Linked DNA regions of Canis lupus familiaris. The protein of the gene in region 2 interacts with the protein of the main gene of each other region in a pairwise test. Links are inferred from orthologs where the notes say so. Each region holds a gene or a part of one and is shown on either strand. Other genes may lie near its edges.

The links.
Region 1: the proteins of ARL6IP1 (region 2) and SNX10 interact in binary tests that used the Homo sapiens proteins (3 or more experiments, as listed by UniProt). The two-hybrid records come from large-scale screens. The link is inferred for Canis lupus familiaris from reciprocal best matches to the Homo sapiens genes ARL6IP1 and SNX10.
Region 3: the proteins of ARL6IP1 (region 2) and SHMT2 interact in binary tests that used the Homo sapiens proteins (3 or more experiments, as listed by UniProt). The two-hybrid records come from large-scale screens. The link is inferred for Canis lupus familiaris from reciprocal best matches to the Homo sapiens genes ARL6IP1 and SHMT2.

The regions. Positions count from the first base shown.
Region 1 is NC_049235.1:39,728,509-39,732,155, reverse strand, and holds part of SNX10 (sorting nexin-10), read right to left. Parts: intron 1,816-3,647; exon of another isoform or gene 1,367-1,815; coding exon 1,154-1,366; intron 768-1,153; exon of another isoform or gene 699-767; coding exon 617-698; 3' UTR 1-616. UniProt on the Homo sapiens protein: Probable phosphoinositide-binding protein involved in protein sorting and membrane trafficking in endosomes. Plays a role in cilium biogenesis through regulation of the transport and the localization of proteins to the cilium.
Region 2 is NC_049227.1:26,551,741-26,555,487, forward strand, and holds the start of ARL6IP1 (ADP-ribosylation factor-like protein 6-interacting protein 1), read left to right. Parts: upstream 1-897; 5' UTR 898-1,020; coding exon 1,021-1,056; intron 1,057-3,283; coding exon 3,284-3,417; intron 3,418-3,747. UniProt on the Homo sapiens protein: Positively regulates SLC1A1/EAAC1-mediated glutamate transport by increasing its affinity for glutamate in a PKC activity-dependent manner.
Region 3 is NC_049231.1:1,709,993-1,713,739, reverse strand, and holds the start of SHMT2 (serine hydroxymethyltransferase, mitochondrial), read right to left. Parts: upstream 2,438-3,747; 5' UTR 2,335-2,437; coding exon 2,302-2,334; intron 1,684-2,301; exon of another isoform or gene 1,568-1,683; intron 1,512-1,567; exon of another isoform or gene 1,420-1,511; intron 1,328-1,419; coding exon 1,127-1,327; intron 621-1,126; coding exon 541-620; intron 388-540; coding exon 187-387; intron 1-186. UniProt on the Homo sapiens protein: Catalyzes the cleavage of serine to glycine accompanied with the production of 5,10-methylenetetrahydrofolate, an essential intermediate for purine biosynthesis.

The DNA.
Region 1 (3,647 bases), on a different chromosome or scaffold from region 2:
TTATTTTAACATGTCTCTATGCATAAGATACACTTTCCATCTAAATGTGAAATAAAATACTGGAAAGGTGAAACTTCTTAAAATATTCCAATCAAACAGCGCAAAGCTAAGTGTTTTTCCCCAGTGCAGGGGGTGGGTGCCCACAAAATATCAGCCACATGTCTGAGAGAGGCGGCCTGGTCTATGCTGTCAATTTCCATCGTGGTTAAGATCATACAGGCTGTATTGATGCTAACACTGTCCCACTGATGCAAGAAGGAATGTGCTGTCTGGAATTTAAATGCAGGCTACCTATATACCTATCTTTTAAAATTCAGTAAAAACCAAGGAGATTTTTCTAAATGCATATATCATTTCATTCCAGGGCAGGATCTTATTTTACCAATAATGTTTGCCTATAAGGAGACTGCATTCACAGGCCTTTAGCTTTTTACAGGAGCTTAGCCAAAATAAGACACAACATAAAAATACCACTAATAAACAACCCAGCGTCTTTAAGAATTTAAATTCCTAATATCATGACAGTGAGCTCTAGGTAAGGATATATTAGCAAGCTTTCTTCTCCATGAGTGGACATAATTTGCTATTCCTAAGATGGTAACATTAGAATTATTTTTCAGGATTCCTGTGGAGCTGTGCTCATCGTACATCCATGTGAACTGCTGTCATCACTACTGTGTCCAAACCCAGAGGATGAACTGGAAAAGAAGAGAGGGGGAAAATAATAAAAAGAGGAAATTGGTTTTCACAACACACTCAAAGCCTGAGTAACAGAGGAGAACTTTAATTATCTCCAGTCACAAAGAGAGACAGGAAATTTGGACTTTTAATTAGCCATTTGGAGTGCAGTTGGATATTTTTTTAGCTAGATAATTTAAACGCGAATAATTCAAGTCTGACTAAATGAAAGTCACATAATCAGAATGCAGATAATTGAATTTCTACTGCATTCATTAATTCAGTGTGGAGGTGTGTGTGAAGACTACTATGATGAGCTGTCACAGCTCAATAAAATCTCAGTCAATTAATTTTTTCATTATCTTAGTATTACATCAACAAAAAAGTGAAGTGTGTAGATATATCTATACACATGCATATGTGCACTCTGTATTATGCAAACACATATACATTACATCGAAATGCAAGGAAATACCTTTCTGAATCATAATCTATATCGTTTTCTTTTTTTCCTTCTTCATCTTCTTCAGGGAAACGTCTGTTCATCAAGGCAAACTTGTGAATCGCGTCTTCTACAGAGTACTTGGTCTGCCCAGAAACGCAAGCCTCAATGTCTTCTGAATTCAAGTGGCTCTGCAAGAAGAGGTGAAGGCAGCTATCCGAGAGCAGGAGTGCGTTCTGTAGGACCCTATGTAAAAGGGAAAAAGGAGAAATGATCGGTGACCAGGGATGGACAGAGGGTAGGACAGAGAGAAACGCTAAAAATGTGCCACTGAAGTAATCTCTTCACTATGGCAAACTTTGCATCAATTAAAGACATTGCCTATTAAAAGGATGAAAGCATATGTTAACTTTTATTCAATTATTTGGAAATTTAGGTGGGTAAAAACATGAAGCTAATAGTTAAGAACATCTGTTAAAAGAATAACTTCAAGGACATTTCTTCAATTTAACCATCTGTTGTGACCATGTGGATTAATTATGGAAAGATTTTGCTTATACTCCTAGAAATTTATTTTCCTTAAAAAAATTTTTTTTACTGCCAACCAGTACGTCTATTCTGTGATCTTTATGGGCTAGGCTGTCATGAAACATCAAAACTTTCAACAACTATTAAAAATTGTATTAAAAAGTCAATATATTTCTCAGCATGTCTTATATTTTAAAACTTTACAAGTATGCTTAGGTACATGTTTACAAGGGCTAACCTGAGAAGTGGCTTTTTTTTTTTGAATACCTAAGACTAACTAAAAATTTCTCCATAATCTTCGGTGGCACTGTGTTTCTATGTCGTTAAAATAAGCCACCAAATAAAATTACTCCCAGCCAATTTTACCATATATACACTTAAAATATGATAATTTTGTGATAAGTACTTATTAGCCTTCCCACATTCAAGGTCAAAGTTTACAGAGAGTACAGATTTCAACCAGTGAGTGCATCAGAACTCCAGGGAAAGCTAAAAACAAGTCCAACAAATCTGTACCGGCTCAAAATCATATTATCACCGAATGTGGTATTTTTTTTTCTGACCTTCATGTCTTCAAACAGGAAATTAAGTCAAAGTACACCCTTATTTTTAAACTAAAACTGGTTTTACCATTTTAGGAAAGAACTTGATATACAATAATTTAGTCTCTATAAATAGTTCAGTAATTATATAATACCAGGCACTCAGACCAGAGACCAGATAGAGGGGACAAAACTAAAACACTAAAACCGGAGTATAATTTTGCCCAACACAGGATTTTGCATAGAGAGCTCTATGAAAACCGGATCATGTATGTCAGACCAAATGAACCTTACCTTATATTCTGCATTTTTACACAAATAATTAGGAAAGCATATCTTTTTTGGGCATTTATGTCAATGTGCTTAAAACTCAAGGTCATTAGAAGATTTCCTTTCCTCCAAAATAAAACAGAGTCCTTTTCTTCAAGAAGGCAAAAGTCTAAACACGTAGAGCATGAAAACCAAAAATCTAGCTTCAACAGGCTTACCAATGTAGCTTGGGAAAATATTTTTACAGGCCTACTAAAAGGAAAAGTAAAACCTTTGTGCCTTTTAAAAGGGCAAAATCTCAAGCAAAGCAGCTAAGTACTTCCCCTCCCCTCCGTGTCCTCTGCCCTGGCTTCTCCCAGAAGATGACCATATCACATGATGAAGATTAATTTACCAAGTACAAGTAGTAAAGTAGTAAATCCCTTTTACTACTTTTTGAGATTTATTTTCTACATTTACAAATGTTTACCACTCTTGTTTTAAATACTTCAAGAGAGGATTTATATGGCAACGACCCATTAATATTAACTTGTGCTCGCCGTTTGCAGAGTTTCCTGTGTCTGCCTGTCAGTGGTCTTCCTGCCAGCCACGGTACAAGGAACTGCTCATAGGATTATACTCACTGCTTTATTTCTGTTGGAAATGTGTTTTATTTTCTTTATAAAATAATAGGTAATCTTTAAAATTGATTTTAGATGGTTCGAGGCATTACACCACAAAAGTAATGAGCACTAATGCCAATGATATTGGACACAAATTCATTTTAGCTTTATTTCATGTCTAAAGCAATTCTACTGAGCCTTGAACTGCTCACGCGCGGTTATTAACTTGCTAGTAACCTAACACATGGGTGCAGCAAACAAAAGTGATCAGAGTCCAGGTTGATCGGGACCTCAAGGCTACTGTCCTTTTTCTTGAGCTATAATTCAATTTCCAATTTTACTGTACATTAGACTCATTATTTCCCAGTGTTTTCTTTTCTGCTTATTACTGCCATCTGGAGGGCATGCTGGTGAAAAGCAAGAGGGAGCCTGCACACACCCAGCTCAGGATTCTGAAGTGGAAGATGTGACCCCCGCTCCCAGGGAGGCAGGATCTGAACACTACATGGCCCTGGACTCACAAAACAGGACACCCGCTAGGCACAGTTTGGTTATTGGAATGCCCTCTCCTGGCTGGCTAAATTT
Region 2 (3,747 bases):
TCATTCGTCTGGTGCTAAACTGCTTACGAATCCACCCCACCCCCACCCCCACCCCCGAGGAGGGCGGTTTACCTCCTTGCTTAGCAAGACCTCTCATCTCAGGAAGGAAGGAGGTTCGGTCAACACCTGACCCTTCACGCGGAGGGGCGTCGTCGTCTCCTAAGCAACCCAAACGCCCCGCCCCGCCCCACCCCACCAAGGAGTTCCCTTGGAGACGCCCACGAAGAAGCCGACTTTGGAGAAATCGGTGCTTTTCCCCTCCCCACCCCCACCCCCCACCCCCCGTGTTGGAGAACTAAGCCCAGATTGCGCTCCTCCTCCCCCGCCCCTTCCTCCATCCAGCTAAGGCCTTACTCCTGATTGCTTGCACGCGGCGGACTGCCCTTTCCTCCCGGGGTGGGCACGAGCGTCCGAGCCGCGGGGCCGGGGGAGGGGGAGGGGAGGGGGACGGGGGCCCGGCCGGGGCGGCCCGAGCGGCGAATGCCACCGAGTGGCCGCGCGGGGGCGCAGCGAGGGCCACCGATCGCAGCGAGGTCGGCGTCACCGCGCCGTCCTCCTGATAACGCGGGGCGTGTTTTGTTTCCCCCAGGACTAAATCCCGAGAGCTAGCGCGGCGGGGCGGCCACCGCGGGTCACGCAGCCCGGGACCGGGGCGCGGGGGGGCCCCGCCGCGGCAGTTCAACCGCTCCCGAAAGGCCTGGGCGGGGCGTCCCACAGCTCCTGGGCGCTGATTGGCCGCTCCTTGTCCCCGCCCCCTCGGCCTGCGCGGCCTCGGTCTCCTTTGACCCCGATTTCAAGCCATGCGCCGGGCCGCGGTTGGTCGGGCCGCCCCGGAGCTTGAGTTCAATCCACCCAATGAGGAGCGGGCTTCGCGGGGCCTGTCGGGAAGGCTGGCTGGTGTATATAAGCGGCCTGCGGGGCGTCCCCTTCGCGCCTGGGTCGCCGTGCGGGTCTCGGCGCGGAGCTCGCTGTGTGCGGGAGGGGCCGGCTTGCGCTCGCTCGGGCGGCACTTCAGGGACGATGGCGGAGGGAGATAATCGCAGCACCAACCTCCTGGTGAGTCGCGAGGGGAGCAGGCAGGGGCCTCCGGGCTTGGGCGGGGGCTCAGCCTGGCAGCGCTCTTGCGGCCTCGTTCCTCCCACCGTGGTGGGCCCGGCCCTCCTCCCCCTCGGCCCCGGGTGGGTGCAGCGGGGCGGTCCCGGACCGGGCGGCCCTTAACACCCCGTGGGGCAGCTACGGGGCGAGGTGAGGACGGCGCGTGACCAGCCCCCGCGGATCGGGGAGGAAGTGGGAGAAGGGGGGGCTGCGATGAGCCTGGGGCGCAGGCCTCCAGGGGCCTGTCTGTCGAGCGCTTTGAACCCCAGGCCCCCAGGCTCTTCTACGGGGTTCCCCTCCTCTTCCCTTCGTTCTTTAGCCCCAATACTTGGGCAGGGGTGGGGGGAGGGGGGAGGACGGGAGAGGGGCGGGGAGGGTCAAAGGGCCACTGGCGAGAATTTGCTGGAGCTGGCGCAGCTTAAACCCGCAGGGAGGCTGTGAACTCACCGCGGGGAACTGGGATTAGAGGTCCAGCTGGAAGGACAGTGGGGAAGGACCTTGGGTTTGCCTGGAGTTTGCAAGGGAGGGGTGTGTGTGTGTGTGTGAGAGAGAGAGAGACAGGTGGACTTTAGAATAAGCAGGGGTCTGAAGGAACTGCAGTGGTGTCTCACGGGCGGATAAATCTAACCTACTTGTTTTCACGGCGCGATCTAGGCAAAAAACGAGAGAAATCCTTGCCTTTTTCTTTTCTTTTTTTTTTGTCCGTTGCCACAACGAAACAGCATTTCATCCTTGACGTTGGATATTCCAAGAGCCCGGGTGCTAACGAGTTTGGTGACCTTGCAGGGCAGCCGTGATGGTGCCAGATTTTCGTTTTGCATTGGTGTTTAGAAATGCACGGCCTGTTCCTGTAACGCACATGCCAGCACACTTGTCTGTGGCTAGCCGAGTTAGCTCCGGCCAAGTTCCAGTTAAGGGGAATTGATCGAAGCACAAAGAAATTGTCCAGCAAATTCACACAGTTTGTTGAGGTGACCGAGCCTGGCCCGAAGCTCAGCTGCTCTTTCCAGCAGAAAGCAGTGTAACTTTAAGCAGAACAAGGCCCTTGGCTTTGGATTTCCTGGGTTCAGATCTCTTAACCTCCATGTATCTGTTACTTCATCTGTAAAATGAGGCGAGTAACAATACCATCCTTTGAATTCATTGGGAGGATTAATTAAAGTATAAGCATATAAAATACTTAGAGCTTCTGGCACATAGTAATCTTCTGTTTAACTATATTAAGCGTGGTGTATATAAAGTCAGGAATGTTGAAGTCCCCCAAGTAATCAGTGTGGCACAGATAGATAGCATCTCTAGTAAGATTAGGCTGTCCTGTCCTCTCTCTTTTGTATATTTCCCCATGATAACATTTATAAGGGCATGTGGGTTTCTTTCTAGTTTTTTTCCTGTACCAAAATCAGTATAGGGTTTTTGTTTTTGTTTTTTTGTGTTTTTTTTTGCCACATTAGCTCATTCCAGAAGTCTACTTTCAGCTAGGTTGTCAGTCTTGCAGAGAAATTTGAAGTCTAACCAAATGTTCTGGTAAGTGTAAGAAGCACTCATTGTATGGAGATACACTGAGCTTGAGATGCCTCATGTAATTTGGTGAAAGTAAGTTTTACTTAATTGTGCAAATGATGCCAGCATCTAAAGGATTCCATTACACAGCGCTATTTTAAAAATTGAATGCTGTTCAGAGAGAGGCTTTCTTAATGGATTTAGAAGTAGGAGTATAAATCAATGAGATGACAAAACAACAGATCAATCAATTCTAACCACCTGAAAAATGAGCACATTTGAAGTGATCTAATTTTATATTTTGGGTGCTGCCACTTAGTGCATGACTTTGAGAAAGCTGGTTACCCATCTAAGGTCACTTAGATGGACCTTATCCATAAGGTCTTATAAGGATAAGGTCTCTTATCCCTACTTTGAGGGCCTCTACTAGGATTGTTAACATTATGTATGAAGAGTAGCCCAGTGCTTGGACTTGGTGACTTGGTGACTGTTAAATGGTAGGTTGCCACCTCCCCCCCCCTTAATTGATTTCTGTCTTGCTACCAAAATTGCAGAATTATTTAGAAACTAAGATAGTGATTTGATTGAGGGCTCTTTTACATTCTTGGTGTCTTAAAAAAAATTAACTGAGAAGCACAGAAATGTTGGGAGTGGTAAAATGATCACTTTACATGTTGGTCTTGTGTAGGCTGCAGAGACTGCAAGTCTGGAAGAGCAGCTGCAGGGATGGGGAGAAGTGATGCTGATGGCTGATAAAGTCCTCAGATGGGAAAGAGCCTGGTTTCCACCTGCCATCATGGGTGTGGTTTCTTTGCTGTTTCTGTAAGTGAGCTATTAAATTATTGTGGATTGTGCTTGTTATTAATAAGGGCTCAGGTAACACACAGCCTCTTTTGTAACCTATAATCTGTAAAGAATGCCTTTTCTTGGAGCAGTTCTCCTAGTTTTCAGTAACCTAAACCAGTTGAATAAATGAGTGGCTCTCACACTTTTTGGCCTAAAGAACCTTTATATTCCTAAAAAGTATTGAGGACCCCAAGGGGCTTTTGTCTCTTGATGTTTACATTAACCATTGCAGCTATGATGTCATCATATTCTGAAGCTTCCCAGAAAACCACTTGTGAGAAATTTAGAATGAAAAGGGCAGATAAC
Region 3 (3,747 bases), on a different chromosome or scaffold from region 2:
CCCACATGCCAGGTCTATTGCACGGTGAGCACTGGTTACTGGTGGCTTCTCTTCCTCATCCACTGATATGCAGGGCACGGAGACACCTGCATGCGCCATCTGTGTGGCACACGGTGGTGTTCGGAAACAACTCTTGTCCCATGCCCATCCTGTCCACCAAGCCCATTCACCCACCCCGGTACTCACTGGCCCCCATCGGGCAAGTCTAGCCCCATGATTCGGTCATGAGGCTGCAGGAGGGCTGTGTAGGCAGCCAGATTAGCGGGAGAGCCTGAGTAGGGCTGGACATTGACTCCCCACTGTGCAGGATCCAGGTCAAAGGCCTCCAGGGCTCTGCGCTGACACAGCAGCTCAATCTCATCCACTACCTCGGCTCCTCCATAGTATCTGCCATGAGATGGGGGTTTATCAGGGCACCTGGAGAGGGTCCCAGTATCCTCAGCAACCAGCGGCAAAGGGCTGGGAAGGCCACTCCTCTATCCATACTGAGGGCACGCCCGTCAGGGATGGCCTCCCAGCCCTCTGGTACCTAGCCCTCACCTCTTGCCAGGATAACCCTCCGAGTACTTGTTGTTCAGACAGGACCCCAGGGCCTCCAGCGCAGCTCGGCTGCAGAAGTTCTGGGGTGAGGGGGGTGGGGGGTAATGTCAGAAGGTATTGAGCCCTCTTCCCTGGAGCCTCCCATAGCCCCTTCCTGCCAGAACCCCAGGCTGCAGGGAGGAAGGAGCTGGGCTCCACTGAGAGCTGTTTGCTCATTCGGCATTCCTTGTCGGGCCTGAAGAAAGGCCAGAGGAAGCATCCTGAGACACCTAGCTGCCGTGATAGTTGTCCCCAGCAAGGCCACCCGTCCACTCGAACCGGTGCTTCCAGGCCCCTCTTTCCTCTCGGGAAGGGGAAGGGGCCAGACTAGACTAGAAGGGCTCCGGACAGCTTTGGAAGCTCTCTAATGTCCCCACCCCATAATCCAGACTGGCCCTGCCTGTTCTTCAGTAAAGAAAAGAAGGAGATAAGGCCCAGCAGAAAGGCCCTGAGTCCGAGAGGGAAATCTGGAGAAACATCAGTATGATGACCTGTTATCTCCTGCACCCACTGCGGCCTATGCCTGGGCCCTCTCCCCAAGCCCCACCTCTGAGGCAATGAGCTCCAGGCCACGACACTGCCTGTCCTTCTCCCTCTGCAGCAGCTCCCACATCTCAGGATCACTGTCTGACAGACTCTCCTGGCCTGTCCAGCCCCTGCTCGCCACTTCTCTGGTCTGGGTCTGGGCCACCTCGTTGTGCTGGCACCGGGCGGCCATCCTGACCAGCCGCCCACATCTCTGCAGAGGCTAGGAGAGGAAACACCACGGTCAGATAAAAAGCATCCAAACAGTCGCCCAACAACCCTCAGCCATGCTTATCAGGCTTTCTGGCTCCAAACCTCACAGCCAGTGGTCCAGCCAGCCTTTCCAATTCTTACCACCCCCGCCTCCACCTTCAAAAAGCCAGTTCTAGAGCCAAGGCTGAGATCAATGTCCAGGGGGTGGTTCTGATTTGGTCCATTTATTTCACCTCAGAATTTCCCTCCACCTCGACCCATGAACCACTCTGCAAAGCCACGGGGTAAACTTTGTCCTCTAGAAGGCCTATGTCTCTGGAGCTCAGGGGCAATCCACCAAGGTTCCAGAACCTCCCCAACCCACAGGTACCAAAGGGTCCCCTGCAGGGCCTCCGTGGCAGTCAGGGGGTTGGAGCTGAGCTAGCAAGGACTCAGGCTGCAGACAGCAGACGTGGTTTCCAGAGCAAGAGGTGGCGGAGCGGACCTTTAGCGACCTCTGGGGGAAGGGGTTTGGTGGTGGCGGGAGCCTTCAGGCAGGGAAGCCAAAACCAACTTCCCGCCCTCTGTGCCCCGACCCGTCCCGTCCGTCAGTCCGCAGCGCCAAGGAACCCCTGATGTAAGCAGCGGGGCCGGGTTGCATCATCTGCACGGCTCGGGGCTGGCTGGACGGGCTCAGCCCCCCGGTCCAGGGGCCCCGCTCGCTCCCCAGGGTCCGCGGGGCATCTGAGCGCTCATCTCCCCCAACGCCACGTGAAGGAGGCGGTCGCAGGCCCCGGGGCGCCCGGTCGCCGGGACGCGGAGGGGCCCCAGCGCTCCCCGGGCACCGGGCGCGGCTTCCCGAACACTGCCGAGCTGCACGCCCGTCCCGGGGGACCAAAACCACGTGCGCGAAGCCGGGGGCACCCCGGGGCTGGTGAATGGGAACCGGGGTCGGAGGGGAGCTCGCGTTCTATTGGCCCCCGGTCTCCGGAGCCCCATTCTTACCCGAGTGGCCCAGAGCAAAGAGAAGGGCAGCATCGCAGCCCGGGTCGCGGGAGGTCTGGCCGCCAACTCCGGCCGGGGGAGCGGGGTAGGAAGCCGCCTGACCCGACAGCGCGTGCGCGAGAACGGCCCGGGCAGCCACCGGATCAAGGGGAGGGGCCTACGCATGCGTGCGGTGGCCCCTTGAGGGTCTCTTGGGAGTTGTAGTTCCCCGCCCCCGCCCGCCCCCAACCCGCGGGTTCCCCATCTGTAGCCCGCGGTCAGAGGCTCTCCCCTGAAAGAAAAGAGATCCGGTGCCGTACCACCGCCTCATTGTCCTCAAGCTCAGTGGGGTTTTTTTTCCATAGTCCAGACAACAGCCCTTTATTGGGTGCCTAATGAAAACCTAGCATTATTAGGCTTTTTGAAAATATGAAGACTCCTCTTGGAGCTTGCAAGCCGTAGTGCACTGGAGAGCACCTGGCTCAGAAGGTGAGACTTGAGTTCAAGTTCCACCTCTGGGACAAACTAGCAAATTAGCCTATCTGGCCCTCATCCGTGATTCAAAAATAACATGTAGTGAGGATTAAGTGAGTCTGTATGTAAACATGGTCTGGGATGGATCACCTTCCCCTCATCCTCTGACCTGCCTCCTCCATGGTTGTCTCCTCCTCCTGGGACACCCCGGAGCTGAGTGACATGTCCCTGCCTGTTGCTGCACTTGTTGAATTTTGCTACCTGTTCACCTCCTGCTGCTCCAGCAGTAAGCAAGCTCTCTTTATATCCCTGGGGCTCTAGATCCTTGGGCCTGGAAAGGATCTTCATTTTAGTCTGACTTTGTCGGGACTCATTAGCCCCTCTAGAAGTAGATCCCCAAAGCTGGGTATTGGAATTGTCTGGGAAATGTAATCTAAACATATGAATGTGAGGAGGCTTCTCTTCTAATTCAATGGATGAGTAGACATTTGCCCACTCGTGGTGACAGTGAAACTTCTCCTCAGTGATTCTATATATTTTTTAAGATTTTATTTATTCATGAGAGACACACAGAGAGAGACAGAGAGACAAAGAGACAGAGACACAGGCAGAGGGAGAAGCAGGCTCCATGCAGGGAGCCTGACGTGGGACTCGATCCCGAGTCTCCAGGATCAGGCCCTGGGCTGAAGGCGGTGCTACACCACCGAGCCACCTGGGCTGCCCTGATTCTATGTTGTTGTTGTTGTTTTTAAGATTTTATTTTATTTATTCATGAGAGACAGAGAGAGAGAGAAGCAGGCTCCATGCTGGGAGCCCGACATGGGACTCGATCCCAGGTCTCCAGGATCACACCCCACGTGAAAGCAGTGCTAAACCGCTGAGCCACCGGGGCTGCCCTGATTCTATGTTTTTAATAAGATTTTATTTATTTGTTTTTTTAATATTTATTTATTTATTTATTTGAGAAAGAGAGAGAGCCAGAGAACAAGCATG